Rattus norvegicus: one gene and its partners. The protein of the gene in region 1 interacts with the protein of each later gene in a biochemical or structural test. Links are inferred from orthologs where the notes say so. Each region holds a gene or a part of one and is shown in the gene's direction. Other genes may lie near its edges. The genes, in order: Ddit3, Atf3 and Fos.

Region 1 (6,273 bases):
GGAGGGGGAGGGGCGGGGGGGCCGGGCCCCGCACTCACCGCGGCCCATGGTTCGGCTGGCCCCGCCCTGCGCAGTCGCGGCCCAGAGGGTGAGTGGGAGGGGGTGGGAGGTGGGTCGGTGGAGCCCGAGCCTCCGGTACGGCCCCGGCCGGTCTTAGCAGGAAGCGCCGCCGCCGCCGCCGCCGCGGATCACCGAGCGGCCTCCCGCGCATGCGCCATAGGGGCCAGGGGCAGCCCTGGGGATTCCGTTCCCAGAAGGCACCGCGCAGACTGCTACCGCCGCCGCCGTCGCTGCCGCCGCCACCGCCGCAGCCGCCGCCGCCGCCGCCGCTGCCCGGACGGGAGAGGGGCGGGGCCGGGCCCCCGCCCAGCGGACAGCAGCGAGCCAACAGGAGGGGACGCAGTGCGCATGCGGGAGCGCGCCTACCCCTCCCCCACAACCCCCCATTAATCCCCAAGAGAACAAACACCCCACGCGGCCCCCCCCCGTCCTCCGCGGAAGGATCTGGGCCTCTTCCCAGGCCACTGGTGGCCAATCCCAATCCTCCCTCGGGAGGGGCCCCTTCCGAAGCCACAATCTGTTGGGGGAGTCAGGAATGTCAGGTCCGGGAGGGGCCAGCCCTAAAAGATGAAAGTCGCGACTTGCCCTGCCCCGCCCCAAAGGCTTCCCGGGTAGTGTGCAGAGACTTGACCCGCCTCTCCAGGTCAACATGTCACAACACGACCTCAGCCTGTCAAGTCACATGACCTCTGCCTGTCACTGACAACCTGGTCTGTCTTTAGGCCAGGAGAGACCATCTGGTTCAGCCCACCCCCAACCTCTACTAACAGAAGGGGAAATGAAGGTCTGGAGCGAAGGAGCAGTCTGGCCAAGGACCTGTCACTGTCGCACCATCCAATAGCAACCGGTCTTGGTTCAGTTTCTACTTAGACAAACTCTGGCTTGCCCCTCCCGAGTGTACGACAGACTATGTAATAGGCCACCACATGGCCTCTGTTTTCATGGCACAAAAAATAGGTTTTGCAAGATGTTTTTACTTTTACTCAAGTTTTCTTCACAGTGCTGTTTTTACCTTTACCTATCATTCTTTAATTTACAACTGAGTACGGTAGATTCCTTGGGCAAATTAAACTAGAATGACCCAGTCCAGGCAATCATGCGCTCAAGTGCATGCACGTCCCAGTCTCTAGGTCGTGAACCCAGACACCTAGAGGCATGAGGCCAGCTAATCAGCAGGGAGTCACAGGACTTGCTATCTTGGAGAAGGAAAAGGGTGGGTATTGGGCTTAGTGAAGGGCATAAGAGCATCACACAAAGCAGGGGTAGGATAAGTAGGCAGGAGGCTACACTCTACAAAGAACTTGAATTCTGGCACGCAGTGGACGATTCTGAAACAAACGTTAAAGCTGCCCTTCTGAGAGAAGCGGATGGACTACCAAGGAAATGCCAGTACCTCAGTCTTTGGGAAGCGTTAGAAGGCTAAAAGAGGAGGAGGTCTCTTAAAAGACTCCAGAAGATGTCAATCCAGGTGAACAAATTGGAAACTTTAAAGAGGTTCAAGAGCCTCGGTGCCCATTAGTTGGGAGGGGCCAGGGAAAATGAGTCTTTTATGGAGGAGTAAGTTAAAGGTGATGGGAGGTGGGCAGACAAGTTCAGGAAGGACAGCCGTTGGGGCCGTTGGACACTGTGAGCTGGCGCTCCGCCTTCTTTCCTCTCTCCCCCATCCCCCCCTCCCGCCCGCTCCCCAGCACCTCCCACCACCATCGACGTCTCCTGCGCGTGCGCGCGCGGACACCGGTTGCCAAACATTGCATCATCCCCGCTCCCCCTCCGCCCCCCCCACGTCATCCCCTCCCTCGCCGCACTCTCCTCCGCGCGCGCGCATGACTCACTCACCTCCTCTGCGAAGCCTCGTGACCCAAAGCCACTTCCGGGTCCGAGATAACGTAGACTCTCGAGCCAGAGGGCGCGATGGAGGCGGGGCCACGGGACTCCTGAGTGGCGGACGTGAGGGGTGAGGCGGAGCCTGTGCCAGCGTGCCGCTTTCTGATTGGTAGGCTCCTGGACACTACCCCCCCCCAGGAGGGACCGAATAGCATAAAAGATACTCGCTCTCCGCTCCAGAGGTCAGTATCTTGAGTCTAATACGTCGATCATACCATGTTGAAGATGAGCGGGTGGCAGCGACAGAGCCAAAATAACAGCCGGAACCTGAGGAGAGAGGCGAGTACTGACTCCGTCTACCCCTTACTTTCCCATCCTCGCCAACATAGCTATTCCACAAAGTTAGAGGCAACTGTCCTTGAGGGTGTAGCCCCACCCCTTCCACTGTGAGTTTGTAGACTGAGGGGCGAGTGAAGGCGGGTAATTCCTGATTCGGGAATGGTGCTTACAGGCCACCTCTTTGGGCGATTGCATTCCCGTTCCCTTGTCTCAGGTTGGTCCCTGCTCTGCAAAGGGACTCCGGTTGCCTTCGGAAATTTGTCTCAGTACTGACCATTTGCGGGCCATCTTAGGCCTAGGCGGTTCGCAGGAAAGGTGGGGCAACAGGACACACCCCCCAATGTTGGGGACTCCGGCTGTTAGCACCTCTTCTCCACCAGCCTCATTCCCCCCAACTCTTTCAAGCTGAAGCGCCTCAGGGACCACCAACATGGCCACTTTAGTAGCTGTCTCTAACGTTCAAGACAACTCAAAGACTGACAGATCTTTGCGAGTGGGGGTGCCGGTGGGAGGAGCATAGATGGGTTTTTCCCTTTTCCCCAGAGGTTTCTGGGTTTCCGTACAAGAGAGCAGCCTGGGTCTCTTTAACTATGGGAAATTACTTGGGATCTCTCCAGGGTCTTCTGCTTCTCTTAGGACTGATCTCTGCTTCTTTCCTCAGTCCTGTCTCCCAACTAATCTCTGTAACCGTTGCATCAGGCCAGCCCACTGTTTGTCTCTGCACCCTCAGGCCTGGGGCTCCTCTGCTGATGAAAGCCAGGTCCCACACACTGGAAGACCAAGGAGTTTTCCCTAGAGGACAACCCTGCAGAGAAACACTCAGGGCAATATTGCGTCTGCAGTCCCCAGAGACAGGCAGCTCAGCTCTGCCTTTGGGCTCAGTGGGCTTAGTTGTTCTCTATTCGTTCCTAACAAATGCCTAATAAGCACCCACTATGTGCCAAGCATTTGGGGATCCAGGGTATATTAGAAGCAAAAGACGAAACTGTTCTCAATAAAACTTACATTTCAATGTAAAGCAAAAGGGGGGAAAAACAGAAGCAGGGAAAAAATAGTTCAGGATGGTGGCTAGAGGTTTTATCATTCAGGAATTGCCTCAGTGGGTGGGTGAGATGGAAAGAAGGCAAGCCTGTGAGCCAAGCAGGTAATGTGGAAGAGGTTTATAGAAGGGAGAGAAGGAGCAGAAGGGTTGAGATGAGTGTGCCAGTATCCTTAGGAGCAGGGCAGTGAGCTGGACTAGAGTAAGCAGGAGAGGGTGGTGAATGGAAACTCAAGTAGCAGGTCCTGTAGAGCCTTGCAAGCATTCTCAGGATGCTAGTCTTTCAACAGTCCTGAAACAGGAATCCATTGGGGGATCTGAGCAGAGGAATGTCCTAAATTAAAAGGGTTGGGGAAAGACCCCATGCATTTAATTCCAACACTCAAAGAGGTAGGAGCAGGCAGAGCTCTGAGCTCCAGGCCAGCATAGTCAGATCCTAACTCAAAATAAATACAAAAACAAAGGGTTGAGTGTGTAGCTCAATAGTAGACTGCTTGCCTAGTATGTAGAGGGCCCTAGGTCAACCCGCAGCCATGAAAATAAAAAAGACAAGAATAGAAACAGGAGATCTTAGCTGGAAATAATGGCAAATGCCTTTAACCCCAGCACTTGAAAGGTAGGTAGATCAGAGTTCAAAGCCAGCTAGTCTACAAAGTAAGTTCCAGGACAGCAAAAGCTACACAGCAAGACCCTGTCTAAAAAAAAAAAAAAAAAAAAAAAAAAAAAGATTTCAAGGCTTCCAAAAATAATCTAGGGAATGAAATGCATAATGCATGGTAAGTTTACATCTGGAAATAATGAGAAAAAGTGAGAAATATTTAGGTTTTGGGTACTTCTAAAGAATATTGAAGTTGCCAGTGCTTTAGACTGAGCTGTGGTATCTGAGAAGGGAGGAATTAAGGATACCAAATGTTTGGCTTTAGGCACCTATAGTTGCCATTTAGTAAGAACTGTACCCCCTTGGTAGGAAAGGCCTTTTGTGTAAGCTGAATGCCTGCTCAACAACCAAAAGAGATGGAGATCCCAGGGCAGGTCTGGAGGCTAGGATGGGAATGGAGTTTAAGCAAATACTGCTGAAATCTCTCTTCCCTGTATTTTAGTTCTCACTTTGGCAGATCTGAGGTCTATCTGGATTTAGAGAAAACTTAGTTGGCCAGGACTTTGCTATTATGTAATCAGGACTACAAATGTCAGCAACTAAAAATAAAGTTAAGCATGCCTGTCCTTGGCTTCAGGGACACACACACACACACACACACACACACACACACACACACACACACACACGAGCCTCTCTGTGGCCTGGTCTACAGAGTTGAGTTCCAGAATTCCAGGATGCCCCGGGCTTCACAGAGAAACTGTCTCAAAATCCAATGACAGAAATTAAGAAACCAGCTAGAGAAAGACCAGTAAGAGGCTAGAGGTAAAGGACCTGTTTCTTCCCCTTTCTCCACAGTGTTCCAGAAGGAAGTGCATCTTCATACACCACCACACCTGAAAGCAGGTAATCTTAGCCACCCTCCCAGTCAGCTCCTAATGCTGCTCAACTTGCTTTGCTGGGATGAGAGTTAGACCAGGCCTTGACCAGAACCAGCTTTTGCTGTCAGACCATGTCTTTCTCTGATCCCATAATGTTGTTTTAGAGCTGGCTTGTCTCAAAGTCAGCCTCAAAAATGGCAACTGGTTTGTTTTCCCAATTCTCAGTCCACACCAAGATTAACCCCAAAGGACCTTTAGTTCAAGCTTCCCACACAAGAAAAAAGGAGTACAAATAGCTTGGTAATTGCCCCTAGAAATTACCAGTAGTGTTCCCAAGTGAGTTGAATACTTTTACTGTAATCCTGTAATATGTATGCATAGCCAGGCACAGTGGCTCATTCCTGTATCTCAGAACTTGAGAGGATCCTGAAGTTATCTGTAGTAAATCCCTCTGAATAAAGGGTAGGTTCTGTCAGGTATAGTGATGCACACCTTTAGTCCCAGCACTTGGGAGTTGATCTCTTTGAGTTTGAGGCCAGCATGAGTTCTAGGACAGGCAGGGCTACACAGAGAGACCCTGTCTCAAACAACAAAAGAAGACTGGCAATAGAGTCTGGAGAGAAAGCTTATCAGTTATGCATGCTTGCTGCTTCCTGCTGTACCTAAATCAGGCTTCCTGCAGCCACATCAGGTGGTTCACATAGCCTGGAACTCCAGTTCCAGGAGAGCCAAAGCCTCTGGCCCCAAACACTGATCATGTATACACATGCAAATTAAAAGCTTGAAACAAAATAGTAGAGATAACTAAATAATATTGACATTTACTGATTTAGTTCTTAAATTACATTTATTTGTTTGGGGTTTGTCTGCTGGCCATGGTGTGTATGTGATCATCTGGACATTGAGAGTTGAATCTGGCAGTATTAAACCCAGACTGCTGGGCTTTGGTGGTAGCCATCTCCCCATCCCAACACTCATTTAGTTTGTGTGCAGTGGTGTGCAGGTCAGAGAACAACTTGTGGGAGTTGATTCTCCACCCCCACCCTATTCCAATGTGGCTTTCAAGGAGTGACAACCTATGTATGCCCTTACCTGTTGTGTAAGACCAGTGCACTTTAAATTCTATATGTTAAAACAGGCATGAGATCAGTTCACCAACTGTGGTGAATGGAATGTATGTCCTTTTTCAGAAACCGGTCCAATTACAGTCATGGCAGCTGAGTCTCTGCCTTTCGCCTTTGAGACAGTGTCCAGCTGGGAGCTGGAAGCCTGGTATGAGGATCTGCAGGAGGTCCTGTCCTCAGATGAAATTGGGGGCACCTATATCTCATCCCCAGGAAACGAAGAGGTGAGTGCTGTCTTCGGATGGGCAAGCAGGATGATGGCATGGACCCATAGCCCCAGCACTCCCCCAACCCCACCCCCCCCAGAGCTGGGGACCGAACCCAGGGCCTTGCGCTTCCTAGGCAAGCGCTCTACCACTGAGCTAAATCCCCAACCCCGCCCCAGCACTTTTAAAAGTGCCAAGAGGC
Region 2 (6,241 bases), on another chromosome or scaffold:
GCTGGCCTTGCTGCTTGGGTTCTCAAGGCTGTCCACTTGAAGACAGGACCCACTTCCATAAATCTGGCTCGAGTATTAGCAGAACTCCGGTTTAATCCGTAAGACAATAAGGATTTCTGTAGAGGTTCCCAGAGGCTTGGGGGCAGGGTTCGTGTGCCCCCCCCCATCTCCCTGTTACACTGGATAGTGGTGTTTATTTATTTACTCCAGGGCAGCCTGTTAAAGAGATGGGGCAGGTACGAGGAGATCCCAAACAACTTTCATTTCTAGGCACCTGGCATTCTTCGGGGTTGTGCCGACACGCCCCGGGTTTACCTTAGGGCAGGTCGGCTGGAGGGCGGGCGGTGGAGGTGTGGAGCAGGGTGTGGGCGTGGGAGATGGAGGGTGGGGCCCCGAGAGCGTTACCAAGGCAAAAACCAAAGCAAAACATTTGCCTGGCGCTTCCCGCGCGACGCTGCTGCAATCCCGTCAGATCCTGGCAGGATCAAAGGGAATCCCGGGGATGGAACCACCCCAGGCTTCCAGCGAGGACAAGGACAGAGAGATTCCGGGGCCCTGGATGGAGGGCAGGGGCCTGTGAAGGTCGAGAGTCGGCCTTGGACTGAAGGAACCCGGGTGCAGAGAACTTGATTTTGCCCGAAGTGTCTGTCTCTGGGTACGGCGTAATACCGTGTGCGACCTTTTCCGTAACCGTCCGGGTGGCAGGTGCTATGGGGCAGCAGCACGGAACAATTCTGCGTCTCACCCTAAACTACCACCCTGTGACCTTCTGATCGCCTTCCTCTCAAAGGCAGGTGTTAGCAGGTGCCTCTGCCTTTACACCTCGGCGTCCAGCCCGGTGTGCGCCTACGAACGCCTCCCAGGCAGGTGCGCGACTACTGGGCCGCAGCCGTGTGCAGGTCTAACCCTTGATGAGCTATGGGGACCAGTCCGGGGTCTTGCGCTCAGCCCAGACCGTCGGAATCACTGGATCAGAATCGGGAAACTATTTTCGAGGTTCAAACCCAGGTCTGCTGAGGTCTTGGCCTGAAATCGAGCCGTACGCGCCCAGCCTTCCCAGCCACCAGATTAGGGAACAGAGGGCCCGGTGTTCCGGCTTTAAGCGGTGCGTGCTCAGTCCCCGCCACCGGGTCCCTAGCACAGCCCTCTGTTCCTGCATACAGACACTCGAAACCTGGAGACGGTTTTTCTCTAAGTATTTCCCGACGTCCAGGCGGACCCCCACCCCCGCCCAGGCTGGGCGCGTAGAGATCAAAGCGTCCTCTTTCCCGGACTGGCCGAGCCGCCTTTTTCCAGCCCCTTCTTATCCCTGCGCTAGGTGGCCTCTGATCTCTCCAAATCTTTCCCCTTTCTAAGCTCTTGCTTTCGCGGAGAATTCCCTGTTCATTTAAAAACGTTTTGTGGTTGTTATTAAAAACAAAAATGAGCTGACAGCGACCGGTCACTGACACCTTGGGTTCCTGGCGGGTTCTGGGGCCCCTGCGTGTGCACGGCCAGGGCGTGGGAGCACGAAGCCGCCGAATGTCTACGTTAACCCACAGCTGTGAGCGGGGGCCCGCGGCAGCGGAGGTCACAGGGGCCGGTAACCGTGTGGATTCACCGGAGTGTAACTTTGGGTACCTCCTTCACGCGGGATATCGTCTCCGCTACCCCTTCCCCGCCTCCTCCTTAGGCTAGGCCGCTGGCCAGAGAAGGCGCCTTTTCCTGAAGTTTTAGAAAAATGACCACGCATTTTAGAGAAAGGTCGTGCCCGCTTCCCAGCCTCACCTAGTCTGGGCCACTGCCAGGACCCGCCTCCCAGCACCCCTCCCCCACCCCCATCCCAACCTAGCGGAGGGAGAGATGCCAGGGCGGTGGAGTCATGCCGCTGGCTTGGGCACCATTGGCTCATGCCTGGAACACGCAGCGGCGAATACGCACATCTGGCGGTGCGCCCGGGCGGCTCCCGGCCTGATATGGAGATAGAGGGCGGGCGGGTGTGTGTGTCCCGGGCGTGCGAGGCGCGTAGGACGCGCTGTGACCGCCCCTTCTCGCACTTGCATCACCAAGTCCGCGGTCTCCACCCACCTTTTGCCCCGCCCTCGTCCCTCCTTCACCCCTCCTCTGGCCAGTTCTCCCTGGAAGCTATTAATAGCATTACGTCAGCCTGGGATTGGTAACCAGGAGTTAAGCGGGCTCCCTGCCAGCGCGAGGGCTTTAAAAGGGGTGATGCAACGCGCTCCCAGTCACAGTCTCACTCAGCGAGACGCGCGGTGCACGGTGCTTCCCCGGCGGAGCCGACCGACCAACCCGCGCTCCGGCAGAGTCCTTGGCGCTCGCCTGCCGGCGGGACAGACAGCCCGCCTCTAGCCGCTCTCTGGACCCTGGCCGCCCCGAGCGAAGACTGGAGGTGAGCATTAGAACCACGCCGAGGAGCGCTGCCCTCCCCACCCTAAGTTCCCCTCTGGTGACCATCCCCCGGACCCTTGTGCCACTGGGGACCCGAGCCCTAGTTTCCGCACCACAGTCGCTCGGCTGAGCTGTTCTTCTCCGCCGCCGCTCCCGGCTGGGGAAAAGTTTCTGGTAAAGTGAAAGAACGAACTTTCTCTTTTGACTTGAGGCGTGAAAGATGCCCTGGGAGGAGATCGCGCGCTCTCAGCTCGCAACTAGGAGAGGTCCTCTGGGTGGGTGGTGGGTGCTGGTGCGCGGGGGTGACCCACACTCTGGGGGTCGCGGTCCTCTCCTCCGTCCATCACTTTGTGTCTGGGCTCTGGAGTAGGAGTGGGTCCCTCCTGAGTCCGCGGAGAGGTGTGGTGGCCCTGGCTTGTGGAAGCGCTGCTCCGGGTACGGAGCTAAATGAATGGAGAAGGAACACTCGGTCGGAGGTCCGCACAGCCGCAGGAGGTCGCCTTGCGCTCCGCGGAGCAGAGCTCCGGGCCGCAGGATCTCGTAGAGGGCTGGGAGCGAAAGTGAGTCGGGATAAGTTTGGAGGCGGCGAGCGCTGGTGTGGCGCTGTCCCGGGGCTGAAGGCAGAGAGGTCTCCGCACCCGCTAACTTCGGTCGGCTGGGCTTGAGACGTCACTTCCAGCCTCATTCGCTGTTGTGAATTGCTGTGCTCTGGCTGACTTTTAACTGGTCCTTGGATTTCTTGGTGTATTCGAAGTGAGCCGAAGAAATCGGATCAAGCGGGTGGAGGGACCAGGGTGTGGGACCACTTGTACTTGTTGGAGGGAGGGGTCCGGGAGGAGTTGTCTTGTGACAGGGTCTCACTCTGTAATCCAGACTGCTCGTAAACTCCGGGCAATCCTCCTGCCTCAGCATCCCAAGTGCTGAAATTACAGGCCACTATGCCTGACACCTCTCTGCCTGTGTGGGAGCCTGCGCTGCGTGGTTCAGATAGCCAGGTTTTGACAGATTTGTTTCTCGAGTGAAATAATTGAAATAAAAGGAGTCGGGGTGGGGGGAATGCTGAGTGAGGGGGCTCCCCACCCAGCTCTCCTAACGGGTCTCTGAGACAGGGCAGGAATGGGGGCTTCTCCTGCATCTCTGTCTCCTAACTCTCTCCCATTGGGTTGCTTCCCTGCTCCCACCCCATTCTCATTCCCAACTCCCATTTCTGTGTTTTCCTCCTAGCCATTTTATTTTCTTTGATTTCATCACACCAGCTTTCTTATAAACTAAAGGAGTTGCCAAGTCCAATAATTTAAAACGTTTATTCTCCCCTCCCCTGGTTCCACTTTTTTGAGACAAGGTCTCCCCGTGTAACCTGGTCTTACTTTGAGCTTACGGAGATCTTCCAGCTCCAGTCCCCAAGTGCTGAGAAGAAGAGAGCACATGTTTTGCATGTTGCGTTTACTATGGGATAGTGTTACCACACACAGGCTCTTGCTTGGGGGTGGGGCTGAGGCTGGGGTGGGGGTTACTGTTGCTTCTATCTGGAGGGTTCAGAGGCTGCTGACCAGGTGTCCAGAGTGAAGAAGACATCGCCCAGCATCTGTGGCTATCTAAATCCCTTCTCAGGCACACCCGTTTCTTGTAGCCATTCTGTCAGAGCCTCTTCTATGACGGGGTTGGGGGGGGGGTGCAGGACTCTTCAGCCCATAGTTGCCTACCTGGCTGGCAGCTCTGTCCATGATTGCTTACTTGGTTGATCTGTTGAACTGCTGGGTCCTTGTGGTAGTGCAAATCGAGCAAGGGGTGGGTGTGAGCAGCTTGGCTGGACCGGACCACACCCATCTCTGTGAGTTTAGACAAGTGCTACCCCTTCCAGGACCTCAGTTTACTCAATGACAAAATGGGGATTTGATCCAGATAATTCTATGTTCCAGGAGTCTGTGATTCCTTAAGGAACTGGCAACCGGGGGTTCCCCATCACAGGAGGAGGGACATAGTCAGGAAGCCACAGAAACTTCAGGAGAGAAATGGTTTTCTATGTGAGAACTCTCAGTCTCTGTCAATCCAACTATAGTGGAGGAGTGCTGATGTCAGCAAATGGGGTGTAATTCGCCCTGTGTCTTGGGAACTCAGGGGTCAACCACCAGCTTGAAATTCTTGATAGTTCCAGTCAATTCCTGATCAATAGAATTAAACCGAACTGAACTTAATCAGGTTCCCTGAGGGGCTGGGGGGAGGTGGAGTCAGAATGGACATGTGAATACTGATTTTCTAATGTTTGTGCATGTGATGTGTTGTCCCCCCCCCACACACACACACAACCCTGGGAGGGAATTGGCAACCTTGATCACAATTTTCAGATAGGAACTAAGGTCAGAAAGCATCCAGCTCGTAAATGGATGCTCAACTAGTGGGGACCAGAGATAGAACTGGAGAATACTGTCTCATCCCACCCTGAAGCAGCCTCTGCCTCCAGCCTTCAAACAGGAAAAAGAACAGGATGTGGAGTTAGGAAGGCAGCTACTGATTCCCCAGTACTACAGGACGGTTTGCAGACAGCTGGGTGGAAGGAAGTGGAAATCAAAAGTGAAAATTCAGAGCCATCATAAGCTACTTGGAGATAAAAATCTAGGAGCCGAATTTCCAGCTAAATAAGGGAAGTTTCATTTTCTTGAAAATGACGAAATTGCCAACCGTATGTGACATAATTTCTGATTGGTAGTGATGAAACAGAAGTGGAATCTGGAAGCAAATCTGGAAGAGAGTTTTATCATCAGTGCAGAAAGTTAAGTCAGCTCATTCCCAAACCCCCAAACACTCCCTTCTCTGGGGCCTCAGCTTCTGGAATCAAGCTGAAGTTTTAAACTTTCTTTCCCTGGAGGGACACAGCCTGACTTCTAGTCTGACTCTCTGGAGAACTCTGTGCAAGACAAACCAGGAAGGACAAGAGCCCAGATCTTGCAGAGTATGCCCCACGATGATGGGAAAAGTTTTCTTAATGGCTTTTACAATGCAATTGTGTCCCCAAGTGAGCCCCACCCCCCCCCCCCAGCTTTTCACAAAAACATTCCACACCACCACCACCGACATTCCTCGGTTTCTTCCTGAATTTACACTAAGAATGTTGTTGGGGGAAGTCCGAAACAGCAGACTTTAACCTCAAAGGGCTCATTAATAAACGTAACTGGGTGGCTAAAAGGGACATGCTCAACTGCTATGGCTCAAACCAGTTAAGTATAGATGAACTATTCAGTCCTACAGATTGGACGGCCAGGCCAGTGGCAGCTCTGATCTGTTTTCCAGTAAAATGGGGAAGGAGAGTGTGTGTATGGGAGGACGCTGAGCCCCTGACTTCAGAAGTCAAAGAAACAGCATCCCTCAGCCACAAGGTTAAGAGACATTCAGTCCTTGCTCCCGTCTGGGAGAGCATTGAATATACATTTCTCCAGTTCTTTTGACTCTGCAATCACTACCCTGGAATTTCTGCCTCCACCGGGGGCATTAATCTCCAGGGAAAAGCAATCCTGAGGAAGGGCTCCTAACATCATAGAAGGTGAGCAGACCCCAGGGAGTCTCCGAGGGAGAGCAGCCATCCTTCCGTGGGAGTTCCTGGGAGACCCAGTGTAGTTCCTGGTCTAGGCATTTCAAGGCATTTCTTGTATTATTTCCCAAGCTGCTCACCACTCTTGGGGAATTAGGGAACTCATTACCAGCCGTCCTTTGCAGAGGAGAAAGCCACTGGGGTACTGTCACAACACATAACTGAGTGGTCCTCAAACCTCGATTTAAAAAAATAGATTCTGGTGTGGAGATTTCATGGATAAAATGGCTCGTTTAAACTTAGCTCTCTCCGGTGTAGGCAGTAGCT
Region 3 (6,402 bases), on another chromosome or scaffold:
GCATATATGTATGTGCAATGTATGTGTGCCTGATGCCCAGGGATGCCAGATGAGGGCATTGGAGTCCCTGGAACTGGACTCACAGGCTGTGGGGTAGCCATGTGGCCAAGGGACTTGAACCTGGGTCCTCTGGAAAAGCAGCCAGTGCTCTAACCACTAAGTCATCTCTCCAGTCTCTGGCTTGTCCTTTTCAGAGGACAGATGTATTAGATGTCCAACTCTCTGGCCATAATGATGCCAAGAAGGAAAAAAAGACAAGCTATTTGGAGGAGAAGGCTCACCCAAAGACCTTTTTTTTTTTTTTTTCGTTTTTAATTGCCAAAGTAAGTGATGTACGAGATAAATCCTGGATATAAAATCTTGACACATCTTTGAGGTGTTGGCCAGAGCTGCTTCAAACCTGAAAAGGAAATAAAATCAAATCACTGTGGTTTTTCTCCAAGAGCCCCTGAGATGTGGTTATGAGTGGAAGGCAAGGCCAGACAGAACCAGGAATTCAAAGGTTGACCTACTTTGTCGAAACTAATAAGAGGGAAGAGGTCTGCATAATCTTTCTGTCTCTTCCTTTCATAGTAAAGAACAGTGAAAGCACATGACAGACTAGAATTCACAGAGAACTGAAGGCCAATGAAATCGCTTCAGGATTGACCGGCTATACGAAGCCTGTGTTTCTACATCATGTTGTCCTCTTTCCCTTCCCCCTCTTTCGAGTGAGAAAAAAAAGCGCCTAAATTCACACCAACATAAACTAATGACATACAATGATGAAATTCTGTTTTCACCTCTGCCTGTGACAGGGAATGCAAAAATAGCAAGTGGCCTATTTCCACGAATCCCCGCCTCCCTGCCCTCCCCGCTCCTGCTGGGTTTGGATCTCTAAGAATGGAGGCTAGCGCATAGGCAGGAGCCAGCCGGGATCGGCCCCCCAACCCGAGGGTGATGTCAGTCGGCGGAGCGGCCGCAGCCTGGCCAGGGAGGCCACGGCTCTTGGGGAGCAGGGAGGGCGGGTGGCCTGGATGGGCGGACCGTGAGCCCGGCCGCGCGGCGTCGCCTGGAGACGGCCCTGGCGGCGCTGTGTTGCTGTAAACAGCCGCTTCGCTGTTACTATCTATAGCAAAATCGCCTAGCTCCCGGGTGCGGCGGCCCAGGGCAGGTTTGTGGTTCTGCACCTCTTGGGCCCCTGAAGATCCATCCGCTGCCCCAATCCTCTCTAGTCCGTCTCGGAATGCCCACCAGTTAGTTTGACCCTTGGGATCCACAGAATGGAGAAGAGGGGACACATGAGTTCTGCGAGGATCTGCGGTTTCCTTTCCCAGAGGTGACCAGCGCTCTGGGGCCGAGCCCAGTCAGTCTAACCCGGCTTGTCCTCTGCTGAAGGACAGGAGACTGAGGGCAAGTAGGGGTGTGTTTGTTCTACACCGAAGCACCCGGCATCTCCAAAGTTCCATCTTCCAAGACTCAAAGCTGTGCTCAAAGCAGACGCCAACATCTCTGCACAGCTGGGAACCGTGCTTCCAGTCCGTCCTCCCCTCCTCCCCCATCCCCCCCTCCCCAAGTCCGAACTGGAAAATCACCCGCTGCGGGTTCCTTGTAAGCGCAGTTTCCAGGCTGCACGGATTCAGGTCCCCACCTCCCCTGTGCACCGAATTGCCTTCTTCCCGGGAGCTCACCTCACTTGTAATTCTGAGCAGACCCCTGCCTTCACTCGCCCTCTGGCCTCCGCTCAAAACTGAGCAAACGACCCCTTCAGGCATCCTTGCAGGGTGGTTTTGCACAATGTTTATCCGTCAGTGTCTCCCGGGACAGTCACCCTGATTGTTCTAAGTGGCCAAGGGTCGGGGAGTGGGTGCTGTCGTCCTTTAAAACACGAATGTATGAATGAACTCAGTATTGTAGGTAAAGCGGGTTATTGAATACTTACTTAGAATCCTTCACTTACTGCTTCCAACCTCAGGCCTAATGTTGCACTGATTTGGGACGGAGAGAGGTCTGATGTGGGCTAGCTTTCCTTTGGGAACAGAGACTTGGAGCCTTTAGGGCTGCGTGCCTGCTTCTCCTAATACCAGAGACTTTTTTAAAAAGCTCCAGATTGCTGGACAATGGAAAGGAGATGACCCCCAGTCTCATCCCCTGACCCTGGGAACAGAGTACACATTGAATCAGGTGCGAATGTTCGCTCGCCTTCTCTGCCTTTCCCGCCTCCCCTCCCCCGGCCGCGGCCCCCGCTCCCCCCTTGCGCTGCACCCTCAGAGTTGGCTGCAGCCGGCGAGCTGTTCCCGTCAATCCCTCCCTCCTTTACACAGGATGTCCATATTAGGACATCTGCGTCAGCAGGTTTCCACGGCCGGTCCCTGTTGTCCTGGGGGGAACCATCCCCGAAATCCTACATGCGGAGGGTCCAGGAGACCTTCTAAGATCCCAATTGTGAACACTCATAGGTGAAAGTTACAGACTGAGACGGGGGTTGAGAGCCTGGGGCGTAGAGTTGATGACAGGGAGCCCGCAGAGGGCATTCGGGAGCGCTTTCCCCCCTCCAGTTTCTCTGTTCCGCTCATGACGTAGTAAGCCATTCAAGCGCTTCTATAAAGCGGCCAGCTGAGGCGCCTACTACTCCAACCGCGATTGCAGCTAGCAACTGAGAAGACTGGATAGAGCCGGCGGAGCCGCGAACGAGCAGTGACCGCGCTCCCACCCAGCTCTGCTCTGCAGCTCCCACCAGTGTCTACCCCTGGACCCCTCGCCGAGCTTTGCCCAAACCACGACCATGATGTTCTCGGGTTTCAACGCGGACTACGAGGCGTCATCCTCCCGCTGCAGTAGCGCCTCCCCGGCCGGGGACAGCCTTTCCTACTACCATTCCCCAGCCGACTCCTTCTCCAGCATGGGCTCCCCTGTCAACACACAGGTGAGTTTGGCTTTGTGCAGTCGCCAGGTCCGCGCTGGGGGTCGCCGAGGAGGGCACATTGGGGTGTGACTGTCAGGGAAGAGTAGGGGTCTTCCTTGTTTGCTCCGGAGGGAGACTGGCGCGGTCAGAGCAGCCCTAGCCTGGGAACCCAGGACTTGTCTGAGCGCGTGCACACTTGTCATACTAAGACTTAGTGACCCCCCTCCCGCGCGGCAGGTTTACTCTGAGTGTCCTGCGCTCTTCTCTCGGTGACTTGTTTCTGAGATCAGCCGGGGCCAACAAGTCTCTAGCAAAGACTCGCTAACTAGAGCCTGGGAGGCGGCAAACGGCGGCAATCCCCCCTCCCGGGGCAGCCTGGAGCAGGGAGAAGGGAGGAGGGAGGAGGGTGCTGCGAGCCGGTGTGTAAGGCAGTTTCATTGATAAAAAGCGAGTTCATTCTGGAGACTCCGGAGCAGCGCCTGCGTCAGCGCAGACGTCAGGGATATTTATAACAAACCCCCTTTCGAGCGAGTGATGCTGAAGGGATAACGGGAACGCAGCAGTAGGATGGAGGAGAAAGGCTGAGCTGCGGAATTCAGGGGAGGATAGAGGATATTGGGAGACCTTTTTATCTCGGATGAAGTGCATACAGGAAGACACAAGCAGTCTCTGACCAGAATGCTTCTCTCTCCCTGCTTCATGCGACACTAGGGCCACTTGCTCCACCTGTGTCTGGAACCTCCTCGCTCACCTCCGCTTTCCTCTTTTTGTTTTGTTTCAGGACTTTTGCGCAGATCTGTCCGTCTCTAGTGCCAACTTTATCCCCACGGTGACAGCCATCTCCACCAGCCCAGACCTGCAGTGGCTGGTGCAGCCCACTCTGGTCTCCTCCGTGGCCCCATCGCAGACCAGAGCGCCCCATCCTTACGGACTCCCCACCCCGTCGACCGGGGCTTACGCCAGAGCGGGAGTGGTGAAGACCATGTCAGGCGGCAGAGCGCAGAGCATCGGCAGAAGGGGCAAAGTAGAGCAGGTGAGTAGCGATTCTGGACCTGCGCGGGGAGTTGGGGGGGGGCGGGGGGGACGGACGCACAGGCGACACGGCAGAGTGGGTGAAACCCTACGCTACTGACTGCACTTCCTGACCAGGGACCGTGGCTGCAGCCCTTTCCCACCCTCGTCAGACACTGACAGTTGGCCCCAAGAAATACTCTAGTTTCCCTGACAGCTTCCAACCACATTCTCTAGCTTGGGAGCTTCTTTGTTCCCCTCCTAAAGATCTCACTTTAAATGCAAATCACACTCAGCCTGCCAACTGCAGGTTAGAAAAACTGCTTCACCGTGAGAGGTGCGGGTGCTGTAGGAGCCAGTTTCACTGGGGTGACTGAACAGAGGTGACACTAGACCACCTTATTGAATGTTGGTCCTTTTCTTATAGCTATCTCCTGAAGAGGAAGAGAAACGGAGAATCCGAAGGGAAAGGAATAAGATGGCTGCAGCCAAGTGCCGGAATCGGAGGAGGGAGCTGACAGATACGCTCCAAGCGGTAGGTTGAACCAGCTGCTGCTCCTGAAACTTTATTAAAGTTGGAGGTTGGGACTATGGGGTCAGGGTCCTTGAGGAAACCTGTGTCTTATGCTTTCTTACATCTCTGTGCAGGAGACAGATCAACTTGAAGACGAGAAGTCTGCGTTGCAGACCGAGATTGCCAATCTACTGAAAGAGAAGGAAAAACTGGAGTTTATTTTGGCAGCCCACCGACCTGCCTGCAAGATCCCCAATGACCTGGGCTTCCCAGAGGAGATGTCTGTGACCTCCCTGGACTTGACTGGGGGTCTGCCTGAGGCTACCACCCCAGAGTCTGAGGAGGCCTTCACCCTGCCTCTTCTCAATGACCCTGAGCCCAAGCCATCCTTGGAGCCGGTCAAGAACATTAGCAACATGGAGCTGAAGGCTGAACCCTTTGATGACTTCTTGTTTCCGGCATCATCTAGGCCCAGTGGCTCGGAGACTGCCCGCTCTGTGCCAGATGTGGACCTGTCTGGTTCCTTCTATGCAGCAGACTGGGAGCCTCTGCACAGCAGTTCCCTGGGGATGGGGCCCATGGTCACAGAGCTGGAGCCCCTGTGCACTCCCGTTGTCACCTGCACTCCCAGCTGCACTACCTATACGTCTTCCTTTGTCTTCACCTACCCCGAGGCTGACTCCTTCCCTAGCTGCGCAGCTGCCCACCGAAAGGGCAGCAGCAGCAACGAGCCCTCCTCTGACTCACTGAGCTCGCCCACACTGCTAGCCCTGTGAGCAGTCAGAGAAGGCAGGGCAGCCGGCACTGACTGAGCTGGTGCATTACAGAGAGAAGAAACAAGTCTTCCCTCGAGGGGTTCCCGTAGACCTAGGGAGGACCTTATCTGTGCGTGAAACACACCAGGCTGTGGACCTCAAGGACTTGAAAGCATCCACATCTGGACTCCAGTCCTCACCTCTTCCGGAGATGTAGCAAAAAAACAAAAAAACAAAACAAAAAAAAAACAAAACAAAAAATCAAAAGCAACCGCATGGAGTGTATTGTTTGTAGTGACACCTGAGAGCTGGTAGTTAGTAGCATGTGAGCCAGGCCTGGGTCTGTGTCTCTTTTCTCTTTCTCCTTAGTCTTCTCATAGCATTAACTAATCTGTTGGGTTCATTATTGGAATTAACCTGGTGCTGGATATTTTTCGGATTGTATCTAGTGCAGCTGATTTTAACAATACCTACTGTGTTCCTGGCAATAGTGTGTTCCAATTTAGAAATGACCAATATTAAACTAAGAAAAGATAGAACTTTATTTTCCGGTAGATAGAAATAAATCGCTATATCCACGTACTGTAGCTCTTCAGCGTCCATGTTCATTGTCATGTAACTGATCATGCATTGTTGAGGTGGTCTGAATGTTCTGACATTAACAGTTTTCCATGAAAACGTTTTATTGTGTTTTCAATTTATTTATTAAGATGGATTCTCAGATATTTATATTTTTATTTTATTTTTTTCTATCCTGAGGTCTTTCGACATGTGGAAAGTGAATTTGAATGAAAAAATTTTAAGCATTGTTTGCTTATTGTTCCAAGACATTGTCAATAAAAGCATTTAAGTTGAATGCGACCACCTCGTTGCTCTTTTATTCTGAGAGTTTTGGAAGTTTCGGGAAGGCCTTGGAGAGAGACCAGTTTGTCAAGATGGGTGGGTCCTGGAGGGGGACACGCCCTCTGTTCCCTTATCACTCAGAGGAAACGCTAGTTCAGGGTATTTTACAGATATGTGTGTTCATATTGCATTGCTAAGATTTTCTACCTGCCTGCCCTGGGGGCTGAGAGTTGCCTGTAACAGCTTGTGCAAGGCTGACGTGCCTTCCTGCTTCTCTGGAGGGAGCATCCTTAAATGTATTTGCCTATCTTCGCCTTAGTGATTTTCCTGGGAAAGGGATCCTTTGAACAGAGCCTAGCTCTATGCAAACTTTTCTCCTTTATTATTATTATTAT

The links.
Region 2: the proteins of Ddit3 (region 1) and Atf3 form a complex in vitro, tested with the Homo sapiens proteins (2 studies listed by BioGRID and IntAct, with this or other methods). The link is inferred for Rattus norvegicus from reciprocal best matches to the Homo sapiens genes DDIT3 and ATF3.
Region 3: the proteins of Ddit3 (region 1) and Fos form a complex in vitro, tested with the Homo sapiens proteins (2 studies listed by BioGRID and IntAct, with this or other methods). The link is inferred for Rattus norvegicus from reciprocal best matches to the Homo sapiens genes DDIT3 and FOS.

What each region holds. Positions count from the first base shown.
Region 1 is NC_086025.1:64,999,570-65,005,842, forward strand, and holds the start of Ddit3 (DNA damage-inducible transcript 3 protein), read left to right. Parts: upstream 1-2,125; 5' UTR 2,126-2,160; coding exon of another isoform or gene 2,161-2,223; intron 2,224-4,718; coding exon of another isoform or gene 4,719-4,760; 5' UTR 4,761-4,766; intron 4,767-5,931; 5' UTR 5,932-5,951; coding exon 5,952-6,089; exon of another isoform or gene 6,090-6,090; intron 6,091-6,273. Other genes in the region: uncharacterized LOC128125814 homolog, read left to right, coding at 2,161-2,223, 4,719-4,760. UniProt on the Homo sapiens protein: Multifunctional transcription factor in endoplasmic reticulum (ER) stress response. Plays an essential role in the response to a wide variety of cell stresses and induces cell cycle arrest and apoptosis in response to ER stress.
Region 2 is NC_086031.1:105,291,740-105,297,980, reverse strand, and holds the start of Atf3 (cyclic AMP-dependent transcription factor ATF-3), read left to right. Parts: upstream 1-2,236; 5' UTR 2,237-2,389; intron 2,390-6,241.
Region 3 is NC_086024.1:110,849,576-110,855,977, forward strand, and holds Fos (protein c-Fos), read left to right. Parts: upstream 1-2,612; 5' UTR 2,613-2,764; coding exon 2,765-2,905; intron 2,906-3,665; coding exon 3,666-3,917; intron 3,918-4,322; coding exon 4,323-4,430; intron 4,431-4,543; coding exon 4,544-5,185; 3' UTR 5,186-5,479; downstream 5,480-6,402. UniProt on the Homo sapiens protein: Nuclear phosphoprotein which forms a tight but non-covalently linked complex with the JUN/AP-1 transcription factor. In the heterodimer, FOS and JUN/AP-1 basic regions each seems to interact with symmetrical DNA half sites.